Tamandua tetradactyla: one gene and its partners. The protein of the gene in region 3 purifies or fractionates together with the protein of the main gene of each other region. This does not show direct contact. Links are inferred from orthologs where the notes say so. Each region holds a gene or a part of one and is shown on either strand. Other genes may lie near its edges. The genes, in order: TGFBR1, TECR, CANX and TAP1.

Region 1 (7,876 bases), on a different chromosome or scaffold from region 3:
TGACCAATCAAAAGACACATATGGCAGAGTGGATCAATGGTTGAGCATCAGTGCTGCCTATTACAATACTAACAATACCAAATCACAAACTCTTTCTCATTTCATCTTCACAGTGTTATGAATTAGGCAAAGTACGAAATATAAATGTGGTAACCAATTGCTTTTTTCACTGGTCAACTTTCCCAGATTAAATACATGGAACTACAAACTAATACTACATAAACTGCACTCACATATAACAGTAAGAATACTAAACGCAGTAAGTACTAAAGAACAGTCAATCAAATGGAATTCATTTAATCAACAAACACTGAAGTGGAACAGAATACAAAACAGTACTAGGTTCTGAGGGCATAAAGGAAATAAAAGACATGATCCTCACCCTCTGGGTATGTAAAATATACGGAATAACAGTGCAAGAGGGTAGAAACAGACAACACCAACTGTAAGTCCTACACAGTTCAAGCAGATAAAGAATACAGGAAGTCAAAACTGAGAACCTTCCTACTCCCACTCCCGAAAAGGAGCAAAATTAAATATGCAGTGTAAAGGCTAAACAGTAAGGAGTCAGCGGGAAGACAGAAATCACTGGAACTGAGGGGCTGCTGCAGTGAGAAGTGAGACTTCTGGCTGGCGATTTGGAGATAGCCCTAACGTCAGCCTCCATCGTGTGCTCTAAGTGCTGAGCACAAACGGGAAATCTTGTAAAGCCCTTTTGGGAACGGCGGAGGAAGATGAGTTTGGAAGTAGCCCACAGAAAAGACAAGACAGAGAAAGAGTGGGAAGCAATTCAAATGTGAGGGATAATGGGCAGGACTTAGCTGATACAAAGGACTAAGGTGACCCACACAAAGAAAGAAAGATACATATTCAATAGGTATTAATATAAAGAAAACTTGCGTTTGAGGTATGTTTTCCAAGGTAAAGGGAAGAGATGGCAAAAAGGAAGCAACTAGTATTCTCCTATGGGCTATAGATGTGGACATTGTGGTACTAAACTGTGTACTAGGGACAGGGAACCAATTTTTCTAGAGAAATTCATGTTGGAGAGAGCAGAGGCTGTTTTAGAGAAATATAAAACTGATACCCAGACTATAAGGAACAATGGCAAGCTCTTGAGTAAGGCAGACAAATCATAAAAATTTTTTTTAAAAAAGCATTTGAGCTTAACTTCTTCAGCATGTACGAAAAGGTTGAGCTGAAATATCAATATAACCATTCCAGGCAGGTGGACCAGTTCAAGAAGTCTGGGCTTGGAGTCATAAGCATCTGGATTAGCTTTCTACACCGCAAACCAGTGTACTGTGCAAGCCCCTCCCGGGCATGCACTGAGCAATGCTTGCTCTGTACATTCAACGCGCCTGATGCTGCTATGTGAGCACATGAACGCTCCCCGCAGAGCTAGGTGCCAGGATAAGTGGAAAAGAGTTAACAGTGGTACGGAAATGTTATTTAAACTGGATGTGGAACTAAACTGCTTCTCTCCCCATCCAGTTATCTTGCTCCCCTCCTAACACCAATGTCAAAAATCCAGTTTCCTCGAACACACTCCCAGTGTGAAAGGAATGACAACAAAGTCAAACTGAAATGTAAATGGTGAGGCCAAAATCTCAATAATAAGGAGCAAGTGTTCATCAGATGACTGGAACAAAATAGGCTGTGCCTTTTTGGTCTATCTTTGGAAACAGAGAGTCCTGGGTGCAAATCCTTAATCTAGCCTTCTCTGTGCTTCAGTTTTCTCAGCTATAAAATAAGGCAAACGCCACTAGTCCTGAGGGTTTAGTTGTGAGGATGAGATAACGTGCTTTGGTGTACTCTGCATCCACAGCACAGTCAGCTCTTAACAGACAGTAGCTATCAGAGCTAATAATAACTGTCACCCTCGGTCTTCAATTAAGTTTTTAAATTGTCGTTTGTTTTCTTTCCTAACATTTGGTGTCATACTTTCACTGTATATTAGCTGCTAGCACTAAGCCCCTATATTTTAGTGTCCAGTATTTTAATTCTGTTGCTAATACGAAGTTTTTCACTCCTTACCGGAGTAGATGACCACCTATACCCCATCCCGATTTAGTATTTTGGGAAAGCGAGCAGGCGTTCTCCCTTGTAAACCAACTACACGGATGACTGCTGCAAACTACTGCCTGTCACCAAGGATAAGGACCATCACTAGCAAACATTCTTCTTCGAGGAAATAAAAGCATTCGCTCAATTCACAGAGTAATTCTCATTCAAGCCTTCCAAACCGCGCAGAGTGAGCAAACGTTCAAGTTTCTACAACGGAAACGATCAGCGGCCGTCTGGTCACTGGATTCGCTAAAACCTTTGCAGCCGCACCGAGAGCAGACATTCCGCGCATCCCGGGCCTGCTCCTCGCCACACAAAGCTTCGCAGCTCCGTTTCCAAAGCCACCCCCGGCTGGAGAAGCCGCCCCCCTCGGCGGGGTCGGCCCGGCTGACCCGGGGTTCGCAGCCGCACCACGCCCCCTCCCACAGCTGGAGGAGGCCCTCTGGGTTCAGAACTCGACCGCCCCACCCCGCCTCCGGGGCTCCTGTCCGACCCCGCCCCGGGCCTGGGGGCTGCGGGCATCTACCCGCGAGGAGCGAGGGTCCCGGGACCAGGACGCCGAGGGCGCCGGCGCGGCGAGGGGGTAGCCCTGCTCGGCCGGCCCGGTGGCCCCGACCCCAGGAAGGCAGCCCCGGACCCCGGACGGCGCCGCCCGCGGAGCCCGCAGCGGGGGCAGCTTCCCGCGGCCCGGCGCGTCCACCCGCCCCGGCCCAGCGCCCCGCCCTGGCCGTGGCCCGGCCCCGGCGCCGCCACCTGCGCCCCCGGCCCCGCGCCATGTTTGAGAAAGAGATGGAGCGAGCCAGAGGCCCGGCCCGCGCGCCTCGCTGCTCACCCGTCGCCCCCCGGACCAGCATCGCCGCCGCCACCAGCACGAGGAGGAGCAGCCGGGGACGCGCAGAAGCGGCCGCCGCTTCCATGGTCCCGCTGCTGCCGCCGCCGCTGCCGCCACCGCCGCCGCCTGAGGCCCGGCCCCGCCCGGCCGCCGCCGCCTTGCTACAGCCAGCAGCGCCTCGCCCCACCTCCCGCCGCCGCCGCCGCCGCGCTCGGCCTTTTGGAGTTGCTCCGGGGCCGCGCTCCCATTGGCTGCCGTGCTCCAGCCGGCCCCGCCCTCCCTGCTCTCGGCCAGCGGCGAGCGTGGCCCGGTCCGGAGCCCCGCCTACGGGCCCATGGGACACCAATCCGGAGCGACAGGCTCCAGGTCGCTGGCCACGCCCCCAGCGCTCCCTGGGTCTGGGCCGCCAGAGGGGGAGCTATGTGGGGGCCGCGTCTAGCCGGCTCCATCCTGGACTGGTGTGTCTGTGTGTGAGCCGCTCTCGGGAAAGGCCGTGCCCCTCACGACACTCATTGCTTCTAGTCCCCTGGGTAAGCGGCAGCACAGAGCTGGTCCTGACCCCGACCCCACCCGGACCTCCATTCACACCCTGCACGCCGACCCCCGACACCCCCTGCAGCCAGGCTTCAGCTCCCCCAGCCCAGTTCCACTCCTCAACTGCCGACACCATCCCATACCAAAATCCTTCTTCAGTGCCCTTCATCGGCGACTTGGTCCCACTGTTTCCTCCTGTTAGCGCTCACCCTCAATCTAGCACCGACCACCCCCCTCAAATTCCAAGCTCAGAAAGTCCCCAAATCCTGGCCTCAGACCCCTGATCCCGAACTCAGATACATTCCCAAATAGCCTCCCACCTCCCCCTGGAACAAGGAGGAGACCCAGAGACCCAGAGCTGGGCTTCAAACCACCCTCCTTCCCCCTCCCCACTTTCTGATCCAGGTTGGAAAGGGAAGCCCCCCGCTCCCCACGTTGCACCCCCAAAGAAGGAACATTCCCCTTCTCTGCACCCATCTCCCACGGGGCGGAGGGAGAGCAGTCAGGGTATCCTGAGCTGCCTCTAACACGCCTGCACGGTAATTTCGAGGTGTCACTAAAAACCCGAATCAACTCAACTACGTTTTCATTCTGAATTCCTAAATTTGCAGTGAGGCGCTCCACCCACCTTCCCACTGGGACGCCAAAATGAGCTCCAGATTTGTAATTCTTCCTGTCAGACTAGTCCTTTCTTCAGACCCAAACACAGTCAAAAGAGGCTGTTACATAGAACAGAGAACATTTTCCCGCAGAACCTTTTAAGGAGAAAATTTTATTTTCTGTGTGATTTGAGCCTGCAATTAAATAAACGTTGGTAGCAGGAATCCGCAGCAGCTTGGACGATCGATTTATAAATTACTTTAGAGCCACTCTGTGAGCCTTTCCCGGGCCTGTAAAGACTTCCTTCAGTGAGCTGCAGAGCGGGAGGGGTGGGGGTGTTGGAGCAGGATCTGGGCACTTCCCTGGCCAGGTCATTTAACCTTTCTGAGCTTTTGTGTCTCGTCCATAAATTGGAAATAATATCTACCTCCCAAGGTTACTGAGAAGATTTGATGAGATTTGGGAGTTCCCCCATCCTCCTTTAGGTGCCAGTTCTAGACCCTTCCTCCAGACCCTTCACCTGCTCCTCCACTCTAGACCACACCCCCCGGCCAGGTAAGGGACAGGTATCCTTCAAACCACCTACTCAGGCATGCAGCTGCTGCTGAGCTCCACGGCTGCCAGCAGGGGGACCAAGCCGGAGAAACAGCTTCTGGCAGCCTCCAGCCCCAGCCTGCTCCCTCAATTCCAGTTTTTTCATTGGAGACTTCATGGGTAAGTCAGGTTCTGTGACACCTGAGGTCCCTAGGCTGCCTTCTCACTGCAGTTCTTCTCAGGGTCTTCATAAGAAGAGGGCTCAAGAAATGTTTATTGTTTGAATGAGTGAATGAATGATTGACCTCAGACAAGTGACTGTTCTCTGACCCTTAGGTTCCCCATCTCTAAAATGGGGATAATAAGTTTTTTTGCGAATGGAAAGGATTGAATCACATGTCATGTGTCTCTTAAATGATGTAATGTGTCTGCAACAGCGTCTGGAACATAATAAATATTTAGTTAATGCCATTTCCTTTGCCCATCCCCTTTCCGGTTTTGTATAATTCTCATCAGGATTTTTGCTCATGTTAACCCCTGCCTTTGCTTTACAGAGCCTCAGATAGGGCATCTTCCACGACATACCTCTGATTCCTTAGTATTTCCATTGAACTGACTGAGTCCAACAGGAAAGTGAGGAGTGGGAAGGAAGAACAGGCTATTTTAAAACATGATTTTCCTGATATTAAGAAAAAAGTACCATGAGCCACAGATCCATAAATAGACTACATTAAAATGGAATAATATATTTTAGGTTAAAAGTGGCAGCTCTCAAGCTTTAAAGTGTCTCCAGATTACCCGAGGAGTTTTTAAAAATGCAGATTCCTGTATCTTGTCAATCCCCCATGCCCCCCACCCCCACCAGTCTGGGAATCTTCTTCAGTTGATCTGGAAGGAGTTCCAGGAATCTGCATATGTAAAAAGCATACCCGATGATTCTACTACAGATGGTCAGGCCACACTTTGAAAGACACTCTTTTGGAAAGTGTGACCATAAAATTCAGTAAATAAAAACAGATGAGCTTATTACACCTTTTGAGAAAGGATGGGCAGTGGAAAGGAGCCTCTGGCTTTGAGGTCTTGCAGACCTTAGTTGGAATTCTGACTGTCACTTACTAGGTGTGAGAATCGGTGCACACTACTTAATCTCTCTTTGATTTAGCATCCTCTAGTGTAAAATGGGGTGACACCTACTTACATATTTGTTGTGAGATCTAAATGCACTATTGCAATAAGGAGTCAATCATAAATGCCAACTACCTCCATAGTCTCCATACCCTCTTCAGTGGGCCTACAGGTTGTCTACACCAATGTCTTGATTTAAAGGGGGAGAAACTGAGAACCAGTCCCCCAGTAAGTCAGCTGTGTAACTAGGACTAACGAGATTCTTACTCCAGTATCTTATCCCTGCACAATGCTACCCCTCAGTCTTCATGCTGAGTACACTGTTTGCCTTTCCTTTTGCATTATTCCTTAAGATGTTTTCCCCCAAATCCAGAGCAGAGACTGCCAGTTGCCTAACCCATATCCATTCCTCCATTCTCTTTATAAGAGAACTCTGATTTCCTTTGGGAAAGCAGTTAACCTAGCTAAAAAGTCTCAATTTCCCAGGCTTCCTAGTGGCATTCTGGACAGCGAAATATAAGCAGAAGTCTACCAGAGGGTATTTTGGGGAATGATTCTCTTTTCCTCGTTAAAAAAAAAAAAAAAGACTCATTGCATTCTCACCTTCTTTCTGCCTAGAATACAGCTGCAATACCTGGAGGTGCAGCAACCACTTTGCAAATATAAGGATGGCAGTCATAGTTCGCAATGGTAGAGAATAAAGATGGAGAGATTCTGGGTCCTTGATAAGTCTCTTGAGCAACTGTACCAGCACTTAAATGCTAACCCATGGGCATCTTAATGTGTGAGAAAAATAAACTTTAAAAAAATTTTAGAATGCTGCAGTTCTATACATATGCCCATCCTAACTATTTTGTCTATTTTATTTCTGTATTATTTTTTTAACTTATATTACTGATTTATACAATTGTTAGCTCTTGATAACTGATGGTTCTCTTAACTGTATAACAAACCATCTCAAAACTTTATAGTTATCCTGAGGCTTACTCTTATGAAGCTTATGTAGATAGCGGAGAAGCTTAGCCTACCTATAGGTATGCGTAAGAGTTACTTCTGGAGGACCTCTTTTGTTGCTCAGATGTGGCCTCACTCTCTCTAAGCCCAACTCTGAAAGTGAAATCATAACCCTTCCTCCTACGTGGGACATGACATCCAGGGGTGAAGGTCTCCCTAGCGACATGGGAGATGACTCCCGGGGATGAATCCAGCCCTGGCACCGTGGGATCAACTATTCCTTCCTGACCAAATGGGGGGAAAGAATTGTAATTAGTAAAGTATCAGAGGCAGAGAGAGTTCAAATAGAGTTGAAAGGCTACTCTGGAGGTGGCTCTTACACAAGCTTCGGGTAGACCTTGCTACCTATGATAACCTGCCAACCCCCAACCAAGACTGTTCCAGCCAATCCTGAAGAACACCTAGGGCAATTTATAAGATTCCACAAGGGTTCCAGGCACTAGAGTAACTTTCCAGAAACCTAATACCTCCAGATGGTTCCCTGGACCAGATAAGTCCTGAAACCTAGAGGGCCCAGCCCCTCCAGAACATCAGATGATTCCATTTCCCTACCCCATATTAGTGACAGACCCATCCAAAATAAAAAATTTAGAATTCCATAGCCCAAACAATCCCAAAGAGAGGTATGGAAAGATCAAAGGTTATTTCATTAGGAAGTGGAGTCCATGGTTATTATTATTATTTTTTATTGCTCTGTATGTAATGAGTCTTTTTTTTCCCTCTGTTGCTTTTAAGATTATCTCTTTACCACTGCTTTTCAGCAATTTAATTAAGATGTGCCTTTTTTGTGACTATGTCTCTCTCATCCAAGTTTTTTTTTTTTTGCATGGGCAGACTTCAGTAATCAAACTTGGGTCTCCAGCATGGCAGGCGAGAATTCTGCCACTGAACCACGGTTGCCTACCCTCATCCAAGTCTTTTATTAATGATTGTAGGAATTCCCTATATTATCTAAAAATGAGCCCTTTTTTTTTGAATATATATATATATTGCAAATATTTTTGCTTAATCTGTTATTTTCTTAATGTTAGTTTTCAAAGAGCAGGAGTTTTAAATGTTCTTTTAGAATTAGTTATTTTTTTTTGTTCAGCCTGGAAAATCTCCACCTAACCCCAATCACAAAGATATTCTCCCGTGTTTTCTTCTAGTAGCTTTGCAGTTTTAATATTT
Region 2 (7,212 bases), on a different chromosome or scaffold from region 3:
TATAACATTTCTTAAATGCATAAACCAGGGCTCCATGTGGCAACTCCCCTTCTGTGCATAACTTTTGATATATTTCTAGGAATACTGTTCTTTGATTTCGCAATTAAATGGGCTCTGCTCCAGGGAGCAGCCACAGAAAGGCTCCAGGGAACTAAGTAACTTGCCCTGTTACACACTCAGTGAGTGGCGGAACCAGCTTCGCCTCTGGCCCAAAGCCCATGCACCCACCTCATCATTACATACTAGTTTACTTTCTCCTGTTATCTTCGCCTTCCTTGCCAGTTTTCTGGCTCCAAACAATTGCCTCTTGACCAGAACTCTTCTCCCAAGACTTTCAGGTATTTATTCCCATGAAGGAAGCTGAAGGAAACCACCTGCTTGATGTGGGTCTAGGATTATTTGCAAGGTGGGCCCAAAAGAGCTACTTTGTTTGGTTAATGGAAGATCTTCAATGAAAGCGGTGCTTTCTTGCTTTCAGTACCCGGCAGTGGGAAACCGGCAGTGAAGTGGGCTAAGGGGGATAAAGAATTTAAAGGGTTTGAAAGCAATTTTTCCATTTGCTCCTGAGATCCTTACTTTGAGTCTCATCTGCCAGGAGTCTTAAACAGCAATTAAAAAATATAATAATAACAATCCTGCTAGGCTGAGTATCTGTCAGGGTAAACAGTTGTCTTATCAACCTTGTGCTGACCTCAAGATAATTCCAAGACCTGCTCTGGCCTGGAAAGGAGACAGCTTCAGTACAGGCCTGAAGGGTGACCCTTTCAGCTGCTTGTCTCAATTAAGCCTTGGGGGATACTTCCGCCCCTACCACCCCTCAGATCACAGTGATATGAAACAGTAATCAAAGCAGCAACAAATCTCTCCACCAGCTAGAACTCTGCCCTGACCCAGCCGGGACAGTGGAACAAGTCCCCACACCTCTGTGATACTGCTTCTCTCACTAGTAAACTGGACTCTGTGATCTAATCCAAAGTCTCCATACAAGTCTTTTGAGACAGGCTAACCACTCTGTGGATTGGAGGGTTGCTTGGAGGTGGTGGGCGATGGATTTAGTCCCAAACAGAAATAAATTCTTCGATATGGATAACTGAAACCTCTGCTAAATGCAAAGAAAAGCCTCTCTGTTATTTTTGGTGATCGGCTAAAAAACACTGCTTGTACAAGCACAGCTCTGAGAGAGAAACCCTGTAGCTGCAGCATTTAGCAGATATCAGCAGAGAATGATAGCAAAGAAGGACACCGCAAAACAACAATATATTTTATTCTCCAAGGTCACTCAGAGCAGTGGGTTTGAAGCTCCCTCTTCCTTCTGGAAGGAAAAGGTTTGAAATGAAGTGGAACCTATTCTGAAATCCAAGCCGGGGCCATCAAACTTTTTCACAGCTTCTATGCATCACCCACTCCAAGGGTTCTCGGAGACCTTCTTTATTCAACTGCTGACTAGCAACTGACTTCATTTTGCAAAATTTCATGTGGCTCTTCCATCCTGGTATCTTCCATCTTTCAAATTAAACCTGGCTTTTTCTCTAGGGTTACATGGAGGGTTTGAAATGGAAATCTGTGTTAGAAGAACCTTATTCTGGAATCATAAAGTTAAATGGGGCATGAGACTTTATTTGATCCTACCTTCTCCTTCTTGGTACCCTATCAAAAATGACTGAGGATTTGTGGAAGGACTTGAAGGAATCTGGGCAAATTACTAAAATAATAGTAACAATAGTAAAGGGGGCAAAGAGAGAGTGGTATTCAACTTGTGAACAGAACCAAGAAATCTCTAGACCTGCTAATTTCCATTGAGGGGCAAACAGGGCATAGAAGACTTTGGACAAGATACCATCCTAAATTGCTCTCTTTCTTCTGCATTTACTAGGTTGAGGTCTTCGGGCAAGTCACTTGCTATCCCTGAGACTGTTTCTTCATCTATAAAAACAGGAATAATAAAATAGACTGACCTCTTAGATAACAGAAGGAAGGTAATAGAATCTCACTAGCCCTAAGAGTAAGCACTTGCTATTCTTATAATTAACCTTTTTTTTACGCAAATGATAAATGACTTTTTATTTGCACTGTGTTATTATTAATCTCAATAAGTTTACTTTTTATGGATAAAGTTACTTAAAAGGCAGCAACGGTTAAATGACTAAAGTGTTCGTATTCTACTGTCGACCAGGACGATAAGCTCACCAGAAGACTCCGTTTTAAGAGAAAAGATACCGAAGTTAGGAGTCAGAAGTCTTGGGCTTCAAAACGTGAGATTTCCCCTCGGTGCCACGCAGGAGTTGGCTAAGCTGACCTCTTAAGACTAGCAGAAAGTAAGATCAGCTTTGCAGCTCGGCTGCAGCCAGCCCTGAAACGGCACCGTCTCGGCTGGTCCGGGACTTGCGGGGCGAGGGAAGGGGTCCAAAGGTCGTGGCGAATGCAAAGCCCCTTGCTAAGCCGGAGGCGGTGGCAATGGTGCAAGGTTTGCGCAAGATTTTGTCCTAGAATGGAAAGCAGGAATCCCACGCCCTCGCTCCCCCCCTGCCAAAACCTGCAACTCATCCCGCTGTGGGAGCCGAAGGGCACCCATAAGCTGCCCAGGCCCTGCAGAGACCCCAGGAAGAAAGCACCCCCCAAAACAGCCTGGTTGCAGAATTATAAAATTAAATTAAATTTAAAAACCTCCCCCGCACATGCGCATCTCGATTTGTGAGCGGCCAAGGGGCGCAGCGCGCGTCCACTGCGCCTGCGCCGCTGGGCTCGCCTCCTCGGAGCGCAGGAGCCTGACGGGATGGCTCGCGCGCCCGCTAAAGAAGAAACAGAGAAGGGGTATCCAAGGAGGCCACCCAGCCCCCGCGTCCTCGCTTCTTACCTCATAGTGCTTCATCGCTCCTTCTCACAGCAGCCGATGCTGCGCTACGAATGCTGCTACTCCCTGCCCGCGACACGGAGCGAGCAGCCTCCCGCGCTCGCGGCCGCCGCGCGAGACTAATTGCAGCTCCGCGCCGGCCCCTCCCCTCCCTGCCGCGTGCGCGCGCGCGGGCCCCACCGGCCAATCAGCGCGCGGGGCACCCACCTTCGCTCCCGTCCCCCGGGGCGGGCCAAGTGAGGACCGGCCTCGCCCCATGGGAATGGCCAATCGGCTCGCGGGACCCACCGAACGGGGCGGTGTGAGGGCGCTTGTGGGAAAGACGGGGCTTGCCCACCCACCAATCAAAAGAGGGCCTCGGCGCCAAGCGCCCCTTGACCGCGTCGCCTTGGAAACCAAAGGACGCGACGGTTGCGGAAAGGTGGGAGGCGGGAGCAAGAAATTGAGTGACAGGGAGAGCAGGGTCCACATGGCTGGCGGCGCGGTTGAGTTAATTACGAGGTGGGCGGCCTCCGGGGGTCCCGGGAGAGGGTTTGGGGGGTGGAGGCGCGGACTAGGCCGCCTGGAGGGTGAGGCTTCAGCGTCGGGGGGGGTGACCCTATCTGTCATGAATGGAGCGAGGGAAGGGGAGATAGGGAAGGGGTAGTGAAGATCACCCCCCCGGAACGCCCCCTAACCTGAAAACTGACCCCCGGCCCATTCTGGGGGTATCTTCAGCTCCCTTTTCAGCACAAGTTCCCGTGCCACCTTCCTTATCCCTTTGGGCAGGGGACCCACGTATGTTTCTACCTGCTGAAATGTGACTGGTCCAAACTACGATATGCTGTGAATGCAAAGCCCATGCCCAATTGCCAAGATTTACATGAGAGGGAGATTATAAAATACCTTTTTAATAACTTTTTATGTTGAAATGCTATTTTAGAAACTTTAAAAGATATTGATTTCCCCTGTTTCTTTTACTTTTTTTTATTAATGCACCTACTAGAACATTTGAAATCACAGGCATGAATCACAGTAGTGATTCACCATTTGACCTCGCACACTCACTCACACATGCAAACACACACGCACACAAACGCTGAAGATCTCAGTACAACCTGAGGAGCAAGCAGCTCCTGGCACTGTCCCTCACCTTCTCTCCTTTCTCCTTCTTCCAGACCCTGCCCCTGAGCCTCGGAACAAAGGCCCTCTGTTCACGGTAGTCTTCAGCAGTTGTTGAACCCTTCTGGAATTCACCAACATGGTAAGGAGTTCTCAAAGGTAGATCACTGATTCACAGAGGAGCTGAGCAGGGAGAGGGTGAGTCAGTACTTGACACTGAGTCATCCCGGTTCAGCTCTGGAGAAACTTCGGGAAGCCGTAGCCTTCTGGGACCCACTGTCTCCGAATAAACTCAGTCGATGCCTGCGTGCAGACTTCAGAAACACCTATCTAGTTCACTGTGTCTCTCTGAGCAAAGCAGATTAAAATGTAAAGGTGTTTGCTAATTGCGCTTTCAAAAGCACACATCTTTTTCTGTTGGCAGTTTGGAGGCTTCTAGACAGGCCTTGCTCCCTGCCCTCCCAAGGAAGAGAGGCATGGCTATACACTTGGAGGCGGCAAGTTGGGCTCGGTTGCATTACTCCAGTTATCTAGTTGTGAATGGTCCGTGGGGTGTGGGTTAAGCCTCCAAACTCTAGCCCCCATTTGCTCCTTTGCCACTTCTGCTGATATCTGCATTCTCCCGTGTGGTCTGAGTGGGTGAGCCTTCTCTATGGCTGGATTCCAGCTAGGTAAGGCGGATGGCCCAGTAGACGTGATTTTTGGAGAGATTCCATGCATACTCCTACGGACTCAGATCATACTGGAATTTCCCCTTTGAGGGTGTCTTTATGAGCCCCACCTTCAGAATCTAGACCTAGAAAGTAGAATTCCTCCTCGTGTTTGACCGACAGTGCAGGCTAGGGGGGGCCCTCATTCTCCTCCCCTCGTTCCAGTGACCAGGCTGACTGCAGAAATATCCTCTGAACTAAGGCTGGCTGCTTTGCTCGAGTCACCCATGGTGCTGTACGGTGGCTGGGATGGTACTGGGATGGGTACAGTAGCTGGGATGAATGTTTCCATGTCCTCAGCATCCCCAGCACAGCGACCGACGGATATATTTGGTGGTTGCTGGCAAGCCCGTTTAAAGCCACCTCTAAAGGGGAAACTCCAGAGGGGACCTGCACTGGGGCAGTTTTGAAGGTTGAGCAGGGCCAACCCACCGTCATTTGGACATCAAAGAGCTGGTGGGTTTGTTAGTGTGTGTCTCACAAGCCCCTTTTGTATTTCCCAAGTGCTAGTAAAGTATCGTTTTGATTTTCCCGAAACCTGGCGTGGCTTATGTCTCCGGGTACGTGATCCTCCTGGGCAGGGTTGTCTGAAGAAGACAAGAGCCGACAAGCCAAGGCTGGTTAGCAATTTTCTATCATGTCAGGGACCTGGGAGAGAGGTTTCCCAGGCCCTCTCCTGGCTTCCCTTCTTTTTAAATCCAGAGGATATTTGTGTATGTGTGGTTTTTTCCCTCCATCCTTTTAAATTTTTATTGCAGTAACACATATATAACACAAAGTTTCCCATTTTAACCACTTTTAAGACTACAGTTCAGTGGCATTTACTACATCCACAAAGTTATAATACATCCATTACCAAAACCTTTCATCACCCAAATAAGAACTCTGTGCCTATTAAGCAATAACTCCTCATTTCCTTGCTCTCCCCATCAGGCATCTCATCTACTTTCTTGCTCTACAAATTGGCTTATTCTTATTCTAGACATTTCCTGTAAGCAAAATCATGTAATATTATTCCTTCTGTGTCTGGCTTATTTCACTCAACATGGCATCTTCAAGATTTATCCGTGTTGTCACACGTCAGAAATTCACTCCTTTTTATGGCCAAATAATATCCCATGGTACATAAACATCACATTTTGTCGATCCATTCATCTGCAATGGACATTTGAGTTCCTTGCACCTTTGGGCTATTGTGAATATGTTTCTTTGGTTTTTTTCATTGAGGTATAATTTACATACAGCAAAATTCACCCAGATCAGTGTATAGTTCTGAACATACACAATCACATAACTTCTACCACAAGCAAGCTATAGAAACATATTTCCACCACCCCAAAAGATTCCCTCATGCCCCTTTATAACCAGCCACAGCCCTGGTAACCACTGGCCTGCTTTCAGTAGCTATAGTTTTGCCTTTTCCAAAAGTTCCTATGAATGGAATCATACATCAGGCAGCATGTTTGTTTGTTTTTTAAACTATTTTTTATTGATATCTTTACACATCACACAGTCCATCCAAAGTATATAATCAGTGGCTCACAATATCATCACATAATTGTGTATCCATCACCATGATCAATTTTAGAACATTTGCATCACTCCAGAAAAAGAAATAAAAAGGAATGAGAAAAACCCATACATCCCATACCCCTTCTCATTGACCACTAGTATTGCAATCTACCCTTTTTTTTTTTTACCCTTTGTCTCCCTTATTATTTATTTTTTTGTCTTGTTTTTTTTCACTCCTCTGTCCATACCCTGGATAAAGGGAGCATCAACCACAAGGTTTTCGCAATCACACGGTCACAGTGTAAAAGCTATATAGTTATATAATCATCTTCAAGAATCAAGGCTACTGGAATATGAAATACAGTTCAACGGTTTCAGGTAATTCCCTCCAGCCACTCTAATACACCATACACTAAAAAAGGATATCTATATAATGCATAAGAATAACCTCAAGGATAGCTTCTCAACTCTGTTTAAAATCTCTCAGCCACTGACACTTTATTTTTTCTCATTTCTCTCTTCCCCTTTTGATCAAGAAAACTTTCTCAATCCTGTGATGCCAGTCCCAGCTCATCCCAGGAGTTCTTTCACACACTGCCAGGGAGATTTACACCCCTGGGAGTCATGTCCCACATAAGGCAGAGGGCAGTGAGTTCACCTACTGAGTTGGCTTAGAGAGAGAGGCCCCATCTGAGTAACGAAAGAGGTTCTCTGGGGATGACTCTTAGGCATTATTATAAGTAGGCTTTAGCTTCTCCTTTGAGGCAATAAGTTTCATAGGGGCAAACCCCAAGATCAAGGGCTCGGCCTATTAAATTGGTTGTCCCCACTGCTTGCGAGAATATCAGGAATTCCCCAGGAGGGGAAGTTTAAGATTTCCTCCTTTCTCCCCAGTTCCTCCAGGGGGCTTTGCAAATACTTTTTTATTCTCGTAGATGGATTTTTGAGTCTGGCTTCTTTCACTAAACACAATGCATTTGAGGTTTGTCTGCATTGTTTCATGTAGCAGTCACCAGTTCTTTTTTATAGCAGAGTAGT
Region 3 (7,553 bases):
TTAGACACCTGTGTGTTCTACTTTAATCATCACAATTCTAGGTCAGTACTATCATGCCCATTCCACACATGAGGAAACTAAGTCTAAAGTTACATAACCTATCCAAGAACAAATAGCAATGAGTGTTTATGAGCAGGGACTCCCAAGTCCTGCTCAAGCACCTGACAACTTACAAGCTTAGGTGAATTACTAACCCCTCGGCGTGAGCTGTTTCATCCAGAAAATGAGAATATCAGTATCTACCTCTTAAGACTGCTGCATAGACACCATGCATGCGACATGCCTAGCTTACTTACAGTATATATTCAGCAACAGCTGGGATTTTTTTACTCTTACTAGATATTGTCTAATAACTCCTTTTATTTGTCATATTTTAAAGGTTTCAAAACTCTGAGTTTTAAGACAGTATAAGAAACTCTAAGTCTTAGGTTGGAAAGGAACCATTTAAAAGAATAGCAGTCACAGATGAACCAACTTACTGCTTCATATGGTACCTTCCGGTTTTACCATCATGCATATCTAGTCAAAAACAAAATAATAAAAGGAAATTAAAAGGTAGATAAAATACAAAGTGGTCTTTATTGTAAACGCTCACCCATTTTAAAGTAGATCTTCCAAACTGCCTTGTTGACCTTTATGGATTTTTTCACTGACAGAACACTAGAATGGACTTTTCCATAACATTTTATTTCTTCCTCTCAACTAAGTAAGTTTAAGAAGTGAATACTTGAAACATACTGAAGATCCTCCAAATTCTTTTTTTTTTTTTTGTATGCTGTATAGTAGGGTCACATTTCATTATTTTTCCATATGAGTATCCCATTATTGCACCATTTGTTGAATTTTTGTTTTTTCTTTTGGGAAGTGCATGCACTGGGAACCAAACCTGGGTCTCCGGCATGGCAGGTGAGAATTCTACCACTGAACTACCGCTGCACTCCTCTCCAAATTAATTTAAAACTGTACACCGGTTGCAGTAACAAGGCATTGAACTAGCATTTTTATGATGAAGTTCTACAGTAAACCATATAGACTGACCTATGCTTTGGCACTTTTATTATCTTCCAGGAATTATTAAGAGCTGCCAATTTTCCTAATTGCCCAATTTTCTACACTTTTCAAAGAAGCTTCGTGCTAAGATGGACAAAGGTAAACAGCCTCCTAAAAGTAAGGCATCTGAAGAGACATCTCATTCCCATTTTAAAGATGTGTAAACCAGGGAAGCACATGAGCTAATTACTGTGCTCAGCTTGAGCCTACACTTATGAATTACCAACTGTCATTCCTTTCTTGTAAGATATCTTGCAGGACAAAGTGAACTCTACTGAAAGGATGCAGCAATGTGATTGCCAAAACTGCAGCAATGACTTCTGCCACAATGTTTACTCCGTGGTCTGTGAAAGATAACATGACAGCTGATCTGCCTAGTTAAGATAGTAAGGGGGGTTGGGGGAATGGGGTGGATGGGATGCTGACACCCATTTTCAGATAGGTCTGGAGACTCATTTGCTGTGCAACATTCATGCCAATACTTTTCTCCAGCAGTCACACAATCCAGTTACCTGGACCTTTTCTCATGCCCCTGGCTGGTGGAACGGAGAATTCCCACACAGTTCTTCACCTGTGCTCTACGGATAATTATAGTAAACGTGCAAGGGGGCAGTCGATTCTACTCAGGACCCTCCGACATTGTTACAGGAAGATATAGCATCATTTTAAAGATTGCTACACTGCTTCCCCTTAAAACAAAATCTACTTGTTAAAAAGCTAAGCAAAAACTTCCATTTCTTAAAATTAGAAGAGACGTCACTGTCGTTCACCTCTGTCCTCCCAAGCATTTAATGTTCAGCTCAGTGTAACTTCCCTCAACCAGCATTCACTGGTGTCATGCCAGCAAGTTAATTCACACGCTCCAGTTTCTTCCCCCCAGACCATCAAGGTGTCTTCAAGTCCTGCAAAACAAGACTTGTCCAACTCAAAAACAGGACTGTCAATACAGCGAAACAACATCAAGATTTCAATCATTTATCGCAATCATTATTTATCGAGCATTCGCTATATGAATCAGGCTTCCCTGTCCTATTTTCTAAACATCCTAATGTATTCCTCAACGCCGCCAGATATTATTATATCCACTATTTGCCAAGAACTGGAGCACAAAGGTTATGGAAATTGCCGAAGCTCACAGAGCTAGCGAACCGCCCGGGCGGGATTTGAACCAGGGCCTTACCCTTCGCCACTACACCGAAACGACCTAGCCCTGGATCATACCCTCAACCGCCCGTTAAACCAATCGCATGACCTTGGGCCTGTCGGTTTCCTCCACCGCAGGGCGAGTCGCAACTCCGTGAGCTTTCCCTTTCACTGGGAATTTCCGACGGGGTCACTCCCCACACCCCCGGAGGTACTGCAACGCTAAGACTAAAGTTTCTCAGCCCCCTAGCTAGGTTCTAGTACATTCTCCGACCCCTCGGGGTGCCAGGATCCGGGCTTCGCTCCGAAATCTTATTTTCCAAACATTCCTCAATCTGATCCTGCATCCTCTCCCTCGGCCGGTATTCTCCTTCCCCCTACCGAGAGTGCCGACACGGCGCGATTCCACTCGGGATCTTTCCCCGACGGCTCCAACCCACCCCGCAGCCACTACCAAGAAGAGGCCCAGGAAAGGCCCAGGCGCAAGGCCGGGGCAGCAGGTGGGCCTTCCCGAGGCCGGCGAGGGTCGGTGCACCTGCCACGCCTCCCGGCCCCGGCGGCGCGGCCTGGGCGCGGTTCCCCCGCTGAGGAGGCCCAGGTCCCGAGCTCGCCCCTCATGGCCGCCGCGCCCACCGGGGCCTGGGGCCGGCAGATCCGGCCCAGTGCCCCGACCCCCGGCCTCTGGGGCCCTCGCAAGCCCCCGCCTCACCTCGAGCCTCCCGGGGACCGCCGGCGGCACCCGCGCCTACTCGCGCCTGCACACACGCCCGGCCCCGCGCTGCAGTGGAGACGGCGGCGGAGGCGGCCCGGCCGTCACGTGCCGCAGCTCCCAGAAGCCTCGGCGCGGGCGTCCCGCCCCGCGACGGCCCCTCGCTCGGGAGTGGTGGCGGCGGGAGCCAAGTCCCGCCCTCGCGCGCGAGCTCCGGGCTGTGGTTGGTCAGCGTGGCCATCGCTCGAGCTACCTTCCCAGACGCCTCCTAGGGCTATTCTTCGTGGAGCGCGCCGATTGGCTTGATGCGAGGAAGGAAGTGGCTACCGGCTGGGCGAGCGAGGAGGGGCGGGGCCGGGGACGACGGGCGCGCGCGTCCTGGGGCGGGGCCGGCCCCGATGAGCCGCGCGCTTTAGGTGCGTTGGGTTCGCGCACGCCCTGGGTCCTGATCCTCGGGGCTGGTGGGGAAGGCTTCCCGGGCTGTGGGCCGGCGCGGGGACTGGGCGCCCGGCACCGAGGGCCGCCCGCGGGCCTGGGCTCGAGTCCCCGGCGCGTTCCTGTGCGTCATCACTCCGCGCCGCGGCCGCCTCGTGGCCCGCTTGCAGTGGAGGCCGGTACAGACCTGCCGCGCGGACACGCGGACGACAGGCCCGCGGAAGGCCGGCGCGGCAGAGACGTGGAGACGCGCATAGCTCGCGTCACCCGCCTGCAGCACATCTGCAGTTTCTACTATGCCGAGAAGCTCGGGAAGTGAGAGCGACCCAGGGTTGCTTGAAAACTGGCCCAGGGCTCCGTCTCCCGTCCGCTCTGCTCCCCAAAGGCCGAATCCTCGGTGGAGAATAGCTAGAGCCAGTGGGTGTGTCATAGAAGCCAGGTGGATCTCCCGGAGGGGCATTTGAGGAGTTCAGGGTCTGGCGTTTGCCTTAGTTTCGTTTGCCACCTCTCAGGCTCCAAATGTGCATAAGGGAGTTTTGTTTTTTATTTCCTGCTTAACTGGGAAAGTAGGAATTAAAGGCAACATAATATTTCAAACAAAGGGCTTCAAAGTGAGGTAGAGTGAGCCAAGTCGCTGCTGCAGCAAAGGTTAAGTGCTAAAAGATGGGGGTACGCAAGTGAAGTTGGTGGGGTTCTGATTAGGGAAGAACTGCTTGCATGTAGGATGATGTTTTAGTTTGCTAATGCTGCTGCAGAGCAATATAACAGAAATGGGTTGGCTTTTATTAGGGGGATTTATTAAGTTGCAAGTTTACAGTTCTAAGACCATAAAAATGTGCAAACTGAGGCATTGAGGAAAAGGCCCCTTGACTCAAGAAAGGATGATGGCATGGAATGTATCTCTGTTCGCTGGGAAGGCATGTGGCTGGCATCTGTGGTCCTTTGGCTCCTGGTTTCAAACACCTCACTTGGAGACGTTTTCTTTCTGAATTTCCAAAAGTCTTTACCAGCTCTAAACTTTTTCTCAAATTCTTCTCTCTTAAAGACTCTAGTAAGTGGAGTAAGACCCACTTGAATGGGTAGAGAAATCTCCATGGAAACCACCTAATCAAAATGCACCACCCACGATTGGAAACACTTTAACCAAAAAGTTTAAAAACCAGAATTCCTAGGTCAGATAAATCCTGAAACCCAAAGGGAGCAGCCTCTCCAAGATTATCAGTTTATTTATGTGCCCATATCCTTTGCTGTCCACATCCGTTCTCAACATGAAAAAAGAACAGGCGTTGCCAAAAAATCCCTATAGATTAAGAGGAGGATTAAAGGAGAAGGTATAACAAAGAAAATGGGATTTAATGAGTATGGCAGCTGAATCACTATATTAATATTCCTTCGAACCTCCAGTGTTTTGGAGCAGCTACAAGGAACAATCTAAGATGGTGGAATGGTCGCCCATGACACTTTGGGATCTGTTCTGTAACTATTTGTTGTAGTGTGCTTTGAAAATGATTGCTTTGCTTTGTATATATGTTGTACTTTACAATTTTTAAAAAAAGTTAAAAAAAAAAAAAACCACCCAACAATAGGCCTACCCCCACAAAATGGGATTAAAATAAAGAACATGGCTTTTCTGGGGAACAACAGTTTCAAACCAGCACACATGGCCAGGGAAAGTGAAAACATGGGAGCTGGGCCTCGTAGGCTGTGTGGGTTTTCTGTAAGTAGAGGGTGGGAGGAAGGTTTCTTTAGATGAGGGAACAGCGTGTGCAAAGGTAAGAAACCAAGCAGAGTGTGTTTGTGGACAATGGTGTTCAAGCTGGAGAAGGATGTTCATTAAAGTGAGAGATGGTAAAGTGGCTCCACAGTTGAGCTGGAGCCTGGCTTAGCCAAGGAATTTAGAGGGAGAAATTTCACATTTTAAGTTTGTGTCATGTTTTCAGTGTTGGGGGAAGCCTTATTTTAACCATCATTCCAGGGAGGTCTGAAACAGGCAGGTAAGGAAACCAGCGCTTGCAGTTGATAAGGGGAAAATTCGGAGATGGCTTCCTATGCAGAAATAAAAGCATTAAATATTAATGCTGACAAATGGCCCATTGGACTCAGAAGGCTAAGGAAAGAGAGAAACAAAGCCAGTGCAGAGAGGCTTGGGGCCTGGACTGGAGGTGGTAGAACCCCAACAGAAAGAAGTAATTCAGGCTTGGTTGGACCTGGGAATATGGATTTGGGCCTGAGACAGAGCAGGTCTCGGGATGCGGATTTTTCCACCAGAGCATGATGTTCTTCAGTGTAGGAGGCTGACAATGAACTTGGAAGAAGGAAATTTTTCTTACCAATTCAAAAGGTACCTGCGGCATTAAAATACCTCATTAAAATAAATAAGCATTGTATAGTTCTTAGATGTTAGAGGTGTGGGAAATGGGACTGAATATTTTCTGACCTTATTGTATAACCTGCAAGTTTTTCGAAATGAATTATTTATATCCATTTTGAAATATGCATATCCTTTAACCCAGCAATTGCACCCCTGGGAATATATCCTCATATGTGTATGGAATATATCCACATACTGTTCTGGTAGGTATATACATATAAAATGTATGAACATATAAAGTTATACACACTGCATAATTGTTTTGGTACCAAAGTCCTAGAAAAAATCGAATTGACCAATCATAGAGAATTGGTTAGATGAAGTATGAAAAGCATGAGGTGAGGGTATATATATACTGATGTGGAATGACTGCCAAGACAGTGTTGCGTGAAAAAGTGCTTAGTAAAATATGCTTCTTTCTGTGTTGAAAAGAGAGATATATTCTTAAAAATAAAAGCTTGGACAAACAGGCTCCCTGGAAAACTACAAGAAACTGCTATGAGGGCTTGAGACTCTGGAAGAAAGAAGACATATATACATACATACATATGAGATGCATGTATTATTTTTTCAATAATCAAATAGATTTTTACATATGTAAAAATATGTGCTTAGTTACTAAAAAAAAAAAAAAAAAGACTATTTTAAAACTACTGTAAACAGGGTGGGCCACGGTGGCTCAGCAGGCAGAGTTCTCACCTACCATGCTGGAGACCCAGGTTCAATTCCCGGTGCCTCTCCATGTAAAAAACAAACAAAATACATAAGCAAAACTGTACTGAAGGCATTGATCAATTTATCCTTCCTTTCCAACCTCCTCTTATATATTAAGTTGCCTCCTCCACCTTACAAGATCCCAGAAGAAAAGCCAGCTAGCTCATCCTTACTCATTCTCACCATCCTTTGCTTGAAGGGGAGTGAGGAGCACGGGGAAAGAAGGGGCACCCTACATTTCCATCAGGCCCTTTCTTTCTGGTTAAGCAAGGAACGGTCATTTCCTTCTACCGACACTAATGTGGCAGTGTGAAATTGACAAGCACAGAACAATACGAGATTATTTTAATTGAGGTTTCTTTTATTACAGTGAGGTTAAACATACTAGAAATGGGTCAGTTTTTAACAATGGGGTTTTATTTCTAAGGCCATGAAAATGTCCAAATTAAGGCCTCAACAGGGCAATACCTCTGAGGAAAGCCCTCTGGCAGCCAGGCTTCCTCTGTCAGATAGCAAAGCACTGGTCTACATCTGCTGGTCCTTTGTTCCCAGGTTTCACTGCTTTCAGCTCCTGCTTCCAGTGGCTTCCTCTCTGAGCTTCTGTAGGTTCTCTCTGAGCATCTCCGGAGATTTTTCTCTAAGCTTTCTCGGCTTTTTCTTCCTTTGATCCTCTCATAAAGGACTTCGGTAAAGGATAAAAACCCACCTTAAATTGGGCTGGGTCACATGGCAACTGAAACCTAACCAAGACAACAGGTCTGCACCCACAGGAATGGATTAAAAGAACCTGGCCTTCTAGGGGTACATAACAGCTTCTAACCAGTGCACAGTAAGAAATCTTTATGCATTAGGATAATTAGCTTAGCTACTCTAATTCTTTTTTTCCAGTTTCTTTAAGAGCTTTTTCATTTGGACCTCTTTCTGCCTATAAAGAATAGAAATATATTGAGACTAACTCAAGGAAACTATCAAAGGACACCAAAGAATCCAAGGACAGGAAAAGAAGTATGGCCTTGCCTTTCGCTATCCAGAACTTGGAGGTGGATTGAAGGTTGCTCTTTCTGTCTTAAATTCTCTTTAAGAAGGGAATTTATTAAATTACAAGTTTACAGTTCTAAGGCCATAAAAATG
Region 4 (7,562 bases), on a different chromosome or scaffold from region 3:
TGCCAGGGATTTCTGCATCTGTACTGCCAGCAACTGTGGATGCACAGAGAGGGTTGGTAAGAAATAGGGTTCATTAGTACCTGAGTTACTGGTTGGAGACTAAAGGTGAGAAGAGGCAAAGGAATAAGAGAGAAGAGGGAAAAGAAAAGGATACAACTATGCTAGAGCGATATAAGGGAGAGGAAAAGGACTCATCAAAAAGTTGGGAATCATATTCTTAAAGACAGATTTTTGGGTAAAAGTCAGGAGAAAAGATACAGGGAGTATGAAGATCAAGGAAGAGCAATCTAGAAAAATGGGACTGCAGGAACAGGGAGTTCCATGAAGGCGGGGAATTATGAGGGTACCAAGAAAGTTGAATGTAAAGAAATCCAAGAGGAAATGAATCTGCCAAATCTGGGAGGTAAAGGGTCCGTGTAGGTTAAGCCAACTCCATGAACATACCTGGTACCACTTTCCCAGCTTCTTAGGCAGAAGGAAAAGCAGAGGCAGGGCAACCAGGGTGATCATGGTGAGGGACACTGACCCCCAGAGCATGAACCCGAAGAGGCACAGCCCCCGTACGAGGTACCACAGCAACAGGCTCAGCTGCTCACTCAGAGACTCACTCACGGTGGCTGTGTCCTCTGTAACCCGAGATGTGATGGCACCTGCCAGGGGTTGGGGAGAAGAGCATAGAGTGAATGCAATGGGTTCAGAGTGATGAGAAAGACTAACAATGAGCCAGGATGCCATGAGTGGGGGTATCAACACAGTGTTCTAGGGAAAAACAAGGTTGGATGGGTGTATGGAGGGATTCGGGAATCTCATTGCAGGCAGAAGGAGTGTAATAGCTATGAAGGGGCTGTGAAAACCTGCCAAAGATCTTCATTTTAACTATGAGAAAATTAGCACCATGTGAAGTTCTATTTTTCGGAAAGCTTCCTGTTCCTTAAAGAACTTGTATATCCCAAACTCTACATAAAGGCAAGAAGAGCCTAAGCTGGTTGTGTAATAGCAATGGAGAAGGGAGAATGCTGCTAGGAGGCAATCCAGGAGGCTCTAATGAGCACAGCACTAGGCATTAAAAGGCTGGGGTTCAACCTGCAAGTTTGTCTTGATCCATATGTGACTACAAAAGTTTCAGCATTTTGGATCTAAACTTCAGTTTCTTTCTCTGGAAAGTGAGGTAGTTGGACTCCAGGATGTCAAAATTTTCAAATAGTTTCTAAGGACATAATGAAAGTCTGAAATTTATATCTAAGGACAGAGAGGTACAGATTTATGGGAAAATCCTGGAGAAGGAACTAGGTTTTTCTGAAGGTAAAGAGAAGAATATTTTGCTCCAACTTGAGATACATCAAGAGTAAGAAATGACAATGTGTGCATATAAGAGAGGTATCACGTTTCTAAGTAAAAGAGAATGCATTGGGGACAGAAAGAGTACATGAACATATAGCGAAAGAGTTTCGTGAAAACCTGTTTGGTTCTGTTGGAAAAACTCTGTCTCCTGCCGCAGGACAGCCTGAAACACGTTTCCGTGCAAGTGGCTATGCACACGGCCCATGGTGTAGTTATACATTCCATCCCCTGCAAATTCCAGCAGTGCGCTAGGGGCAGAGGAGAAGGAAGGTCAGGTGGGGTGCTGGGAGGATGCAGAAGGAAGGTCCCAGGTACCCCCCACAGATGCTATGCACTTTGGACAGCAGGCCCCAATTTCCAGCTCCCTCTTTTCTGGGATCCCCCATTCTGAGCCATCCATCTTCAGCCCCCAGACCTGGCTATGGTGAGAGCAGACATAAGAGTTATGTTGTAGGTGAAGGCAGCAGCTACTTTATCTTGTAGGATCCAGTCAGTGAGACGACCAGTGTAGAACGGGATGGCCATTTCCCCTGGGGTAGGAGAGGAAAGACCGGTCAGTCACAGACACTAAGTCTAAGCAGGGCACCTCTGACCAGACTATCCCTCATTCCACCCCTCAGCTGCCCTTATCCTTATTCCTAACAGTAGAAGCAGAAAGAAGACACTGAGGTCATAATCCCCTACCTGAGGAGACTGCCCTGGGTCTCCCGGCCCTATGTTTGCTCCACCAGACTTTCCAGGGTTTAACTAGAAAGGCTAGAGATGGAGTAAAATACCCTCCTCTTGCTGCCCAAGAGGAAAGGTCTTGCCCAATGTGGCCCAAAGAAGTGGCGCCTGGGACAGGACTGGAGACCCGGGCTTGAGCCCACCCAGTCCAATGCACTTTTCTCCAGACGGGAGTGGTCACCTCGAGACCTCAGCTGGGTCACCAGATGCACATTTCCCATAACACTACCACCACCCATCTCATGACCATTACACTTGCTTCCTGACTAACCACCTGCATCCTCCCGGTCTCCACCTGCGTCCCTCTTACCGAGACAGGAGAGGATCAACAAAACCAGAAAGAGCGAAAAGGTATGTATCTCTGGGCTCAGACAAGCGAGAAGCCGAAGCACCGCGTCTCCAGAGCCGCTAGGCCAGAAGGACACCCGAAGTTTGTGCCACAGGGCGGCCGCGAGCAGCGCTGCAACATAGCTGATGATGAAGACATCGGCGCGACCTGCCCAGTGCAGCAGCCCGGAGCTGCCTGCATCCCTCGGGACACCCCACAAGCCCAGCGCACGAAAGGAGGCAAGTCCCGGAAGTGCCAAACCCAGTGCCACTGCCAGAGGCTCCAAAGCTTCCAGCCAGCTCTGGACTCCTGTGCTTTCCCTATCGGAGACTCTGGTCTTGAGAACCCCGCGGGCCCCCAGCCACAGAACGGCCCAGCGGCTCAGGCCCACCCCCCAGACCCGCAGCAGCGGCAGCGCGGTGGGAAACAGCAGAGTGAATATCCCGGGCAGCGCGGGCCGGAGCAGTAGACAGTCGGCGAGAAGCAGCAGCGTCGCCCCCAGCCACGCGCAGGAGGCCCGGCACGCGCGGGGAGCCCGGGACTCTGAGCCGGCCATCGGCTCGCGGCTGCTGTCCCGGGTTCCCTTCGGGAGCCTGCGGGTCTCGCCTGCGTCTGTAACCTAGCATGCGCCGGGGCTGACGGCCGGAGGCGGGAGCAGGGGCGGGCCGGGGCGGAACTCTGGGAAAGTCCCCGGTCTTGCTACCAAGAATTGTAGCCGTTTAGGGGAAAGGGAAATCGAAAGCGGCAGCCGGCTCTCTTGTACCGCCCACTTCCAAATGGGGCTGGCCAGACTATCTGGATATCAATTCTAAGATTCTAGGGAGCGGCACCGTTGTCCCCATCTGCTCCATCACGCACATCTTTCGCTCCTCTCCCGGTCTTTTCCTGCGGGACGCACTTGCTAGAACTTTCTCATCCAAGTCTCAGAGCGGGGCCCTTTCGTCATCTGTCTCTGGGCAGATCTGCCCCACACAGGTTTGCGTCCCCGCTTCCAGCCTGACAGCGAGGGCGCAGACGCCCCCTGGTGGGCGCGGTGAAGGGGCGGGGCTCTAGGCTGCGCGCCGCGCGCTGTCCCAGGTCAGAAAACCAGAGCCCCAGGCAGCGAGGAGGCAGCCGGGATGTTGCGGGCGGGAGCGCCGAGTCTGGACTTACCCCGGACCGGAGAAGTTCATACCGGGGTAATGGGTCTGGGGTTGAGGGTTATCAGAGAGTCGGAGAAGGTGGAATGATAAGGAGACCCTGGGAGCGCTGAGGAGTGTGTGCGGAGACTAACAGAAATGTGGGGAAGTGGCTTGTAGCAGCTAGGGCTTGCTTGCATCCCGCAGTGAACTTAAGGCATCTCTATTCTGAAGAAGGTCTTCTAGGGGGCCGCGAAGGGCCTGGGCATTCGAGGCATTAGAGTAGGGGGCGGTGTTTTGGCTCTTAGCTGGAAGCGTCAAGGGGAAGCTGCTCTAAAAAGCTTTCACTTTCACTCTGGGGTGGACAAGGTGGGTGGTTAATTCAAAAACGGGGGCTAGAGGCGATGCAAAGAGATGAGGAGACGGTGCCCTAAATGAAGTTGGACTACACTTAGGAAGAGGGTATAAGGTCACTGATTGAGCAGGATCAGCTCACCGCAGAGACGGGTGATAATAGCCCAAGCACTGATTACGGGGGTTCTGTGGGACCTGGTGGTGCTTTTCCCTACCTTGGCTCAGGAAGGTTCCTGCTTGTTCCAGGTGTTGCCAGTTCCCTTCCCTGACTCTTCCCTCCCCACTCCCACATGCCTGCTGGGAGACTGCCCAGGCTGGGTGCCTGGGACATATGGCAACCCCAAGGCTGACTGGTCTCTACTCCCAGACTGCTGCCTCCATTCCAGGTTTGCAGACAGCTCTGTTATAGAGTAATCTCTAGGATGGGGTTGCACCAGTTCTCTGGCCAAATGCATGGTGAACTGTTGTACCAGAGTAAGGTATAACAGTGAGGAAAATCGCAGTAAAACCATTTGCAAGTTAGAAAATCTCCCTTCACTGCCGCACGAGCAATGGAAAGTAGGAAGTAGAAGTCAGACTTCATAGGAGTTAGACCTGGGTTTTAGTTCCAGCTCTGCTAGTGATTCAGTGTGACCTTGGTGTCACTTACCTGCTCTATGACTCAGTTTCTTCCTTTGATCATTAAGACTCCTTCCAATTCAAGGAGTAGAGAAAGTGTAGCTTTATCCCTCATCACTGTTCCTTAATTCTTTTCTTTTTTTTCTTAATTCTTTTCTTGACCTAGAAAAAAATCAGCCCAGACAGCCTGATCCAATCCTCTCCCAGTACACATCTTACTCTTACTGCCTGAAAGATCTACTTACCTCCTAGATCAGAAACTCAAGCAAAACTTATTTTAAACTTCTTATGCGAAACTTCCTTGCTTTCCTCCTGCCCTGATACCTGGCTCCGCTAACTACTGACCAGCTCAATGTTTTACATTGTTCAGTACACTGAAAAAATTCATTTCTGATTAAATGGGGATGAGAATGGAGGATTCTGGGCAAACAAACTTGACCTTGATTCCCAGATTCCTAGATTCTTGCCAAGTTACCTGCACCCATTGGAACATATAATAAGCTTGTGCAGTAGAGAAAATTCACTTGTGGGACTACTTATGTGCCCTCGAACCCTTCCCTCCAAGGGAGTACTTCTACCTCAAGGAGGCTCTTTCCCCATCTCTCTTTAGAAAGGAAAGGATTTCACCAAGAAAGTTGGGACTTAGGGTTGTGGTTCTTTATTTGTTGTATCAAGGCTGTGCTGTGGCGTTCCCTTGAAGTGGGATAAGGCAATAGAGAAGTGGAAAGATGGAGAAAAGACCTTGTACTGGGGTCTGCCCTGGCCTGTATTACTGTATGACCTTGAGCCAGTCGCCTCTCCTCTCCGGCAGGGTCTCCTCACCTGTAGTACGGAGGTCAGAACTTCCTGCTCTGAAGTCCGTTCTCTGTGTCTCTGCAGACGACCATCATGGCAGTGGAGTTTGATGGGGGCGTGGTAGTGGGCTCTGATTCTCGGGTGTCTGCAGGGTGAGTATCCGTGAAACTATAAGGATTTGGAAGGAACTAATGGCACCAAATACGTATTTTTCTTACTCATTCATGAACAAAAAACTGGTGAACTGGAGCTTTGGAAAAATGGACCAGACCATTCAGAAAGGACAGGCCACTATAATAAGATATTGGGTAGGTGCTTGGGTCTCTCAGTTTATGAAGGAAGGACATGGGATCTGGATGCTTATGTGGCCTGTTCCTGTAGTATAAGGGGGTGGAGTGTAAAGGAACAGAGTCTTAGAGGGAGACAAGAGATAGAAATTTGAGGGTCCCTCCTTCCATCTCTATTTAGGGATAGAAGAGATGATTCTGCCGAGCAGATATTCTGATTTCTCATTTATCAACTATTAAGCTAATTTTGTCCCTACTCTCCCTTCCTGGCCAGAATTCCTTCACATGCAATATCAGTATATGGGATTAGATCAATATTACATTTGTTGTGTTCCATTACATTTCTCAAGATGATGAATAGCAAAAAAAAAAAAATTGTTGAGGTACATTTCTCTTACCTTCTTAACTTAGGGTTATTTTTCTGTAATAAAATCTAAACCTGAAAAATAAATCTAACTCTGACTAATTCTTGCACCAATGCATTTATCCATGAGACTGTTTTAGCTTTCTGCTTTAATCCAAGCATTGAATTTTATGCACTCCATGACTGTTCTCTTGTCAAATAAATTTGAGAAGCACTCATTGATTGACCTTACCAATTCCTGCCAACTCTAACATTGATGACTGCTCTTCCTTCCTGACAGAGAGGCAGTGGTGAACCGAGTGTTTGACAAGCTCACCCCTCTACACCAGCGCATCTACTGTGCCCTCTCTGGCTCAGCTGCTGATGCCCAGGCCGTGGCAGACATGGCCTCCTACCAGCTGGAACTCCATGGGTAGGAATTTCCACTGGCCATGAGCTCCTGACCCCACGCTTACTGGAGCTCCTCCAACCCCATGAAGTTCTATGTGAGGCTCTGTTCCAGGCACATTGAGTTAGGAAATGGGAAATTCTTATTTGGGTTCCTGCTTTCATTAGCTTTGAACTGGCGTGCTTGAATCTCTATAAGCCAGTTTCGGTACCTGTAAAATGCAGATACTAGTACCTACCCTCACATCATGGCTATTTTGATAATAAAATGATATATATGAAAGCCATTTGAAAACTGTAAATCACTACACTGATATAAATAATAAGGAAGAAAATGATCACGTGGCCCACCATAATCTCGATCAAAGTTAATGTATGAGAAATCAAGGCCATTCAAGCAGAAATAAAGCTTATCTGCCTTTCCATACAAGGTCAGGGTCCTTGTAGACAAAGGACAATTAAGTAATTGGAGGTAGGGTGGGGCAGGGAGAAGACCACAGAAAGCTCCTTATAAATTGGTGACATGAAACCCTGGTTGAAACCCTGGTTGCCCTGTACGTGTGGAAGGGAAGCTGGAATTTGAACTAATATAAGTATTATAGGTCATTTGGCAGGTATAGTGGTAATAGCACCAGAGGCCGGGACTTGAGGAGATTATGAGACCCCTACGCCTAATATCTCCGTCAGGTTGGAACTGGAGGACTCTCCCCTCGTTCTGGCTGCTGCAAACGTGGTGAAGAATATCACCTATAAGTATCGGGAGGATCTCTCTGCACATCTCATGATAGCTGGCTGGGACCAACGTGAAGGGGGCCAGGTGAGTGTCTCCTAACTTGCCCCCTCCCCAAGGGTTCCACCCTTCTGTATGGAACAAGATGGTAGGCATATGTCATTCTAGCAATGAGTTTCAAAGGACAGAGTCTCAACTATTGGGCTGTGAGATACCAGAGCTTTACTGCAGAATGGGGAGGCCATCTGCTTGTCTCAGTGCGAAGGGGAAGGTTGATGACTCTTTAGTCTGACCTGAGGACGCCCCCACCTAGGTATATGGAACTCTGGGAGGAATGCTGACGCGACAGCCCTTCGCCATTGGTGGCTCCGGCAGCACCTACATTTACGGTTATGTGGATGCAGCATATAAACCAGGCATGTCCCCTGAGGAGTGCAGACGCTTCACTACAGATGGTAAATCAACAAGTGGAAGGGAACCTGGGAAGGGATTTTTAAACATGAGAAAGAAGTGA

The links.
Region 1: the proteins of CANX (region 3) and TGFBR1 purify together in Homo sapiens (affinity purification with mass spectrometry; 3 studies listed by BioGRID and IntAct, with this or other methods). This does not show direct contact. The link is inferred for Tamandua tetradactyla from reciprocal best matches to the Homo sapiens genes CANX and TGFBR1.
Region 2: the proteins of CANX (region 3) and TECR purify together in Homo sapiens (affinity purification with mass spectrometry; 3 studies listed by BioGRID and IntAct, with this or other methods). This does not show direct contact. The link is inferred for Tamandua tetradactyla from reciprocal best matches to the Homo sapiens genes CANX and TECR.
Region 4: the proteins of CANX (region 3) and TAP1 purify together in Homo sapiens (affinity purification with mass spectrometry; 3 studies listed by BioGRID and IntAct, with this or other methods). This does not show direct contact. The link is inferred for Tamandua tetradactyla from reciprocal best matches to the Homo sapiens genes CANX and TAP1.

Annotation. Positions count from the first base shown.
Region 1 is NC_135328.1:16,290,952-16,298,827, reverse strand, and holds the start of TGFBR1 (TGF-beta receptor type-1), read right to left. Parts: upstream 3,019-7,876; 5' UTR 2,985-3,018; coding exon 2,900-2,984; intron 1-2,899. UniProt on the Homo sapiens protein: Transmembrane serine/threonine kinase forming with the TGF-beta type II serine/threonine kinase receptor, TGFBR2, the non-promiscuous receptor for the TGF-beta cytokines TGFB1, TGFB2 and TGFB3.
Region 2 is NC_135337.1:88,450,850-88,458,061, forward strand, and holds the start of TECR (very-long-chain enoyl-CoA reductase), read right to left. Parts: upstream 3,007-7,212; 5' UTR 2,870-3,006; coding exon 2,855-2,869; intron 1-2,854. UniProt on the Homo sapiens protein: Involved in both the production of very long-chain fatty acids for sphingolipid synthesis and the degradation of the sphingosine moiety in sphingolipids through the sphingosine 1-phosphate metabolic pathway.
Region 3 is NC_135346.1:1,594,968-1,602,520, forward strand, and holds the start of CANX (calnexin), read right to left. Parts: upstream 3,014-7,553; 5' UTR 2,903-3,013; intron 1-2,902. UniProt on the Homo sapiens protein: Calcium-binding protein that interacts with newly synthesized monoglucosylated glycoproteins in the endoplasmic reticulum. It may act in assisting protein assembly and/or in the retention within the ER of unassembled protein subunits.
Region 4 is NC_135331.1:88,703,262-88,710,823, forward strand, and holds the start of TAP1 (antigen peptide transporter 1), read right to left. Parts: upstream 3,015-7,562; 5' UTR 2,952-3,014; coding exon 2,378-2,951; intron 1,872-2,377; coding exon 1,757-1,871; intron 1,590-1,756; coding exon 1,459-1,589; intron 651-1,458; coding exon 445-650; intron 34-444; coding exon 1-33. Other genes in the region: PSMB9 (proteasome subunit beta type-9), read left to right, coding at 3,514-3,573, 5,365-5,432, 6,212-6,343, 7,006-7,135, 7,362-7,503. UniProt on the Homo sapiens protein: ABC transporter associated with antigen processing. In complex with TAP2 mediates unidirectional translocation of peptide antigens from cytosol to endoplasmic reticulum (ER) for loading onto MHC class I (MHCI) molecules.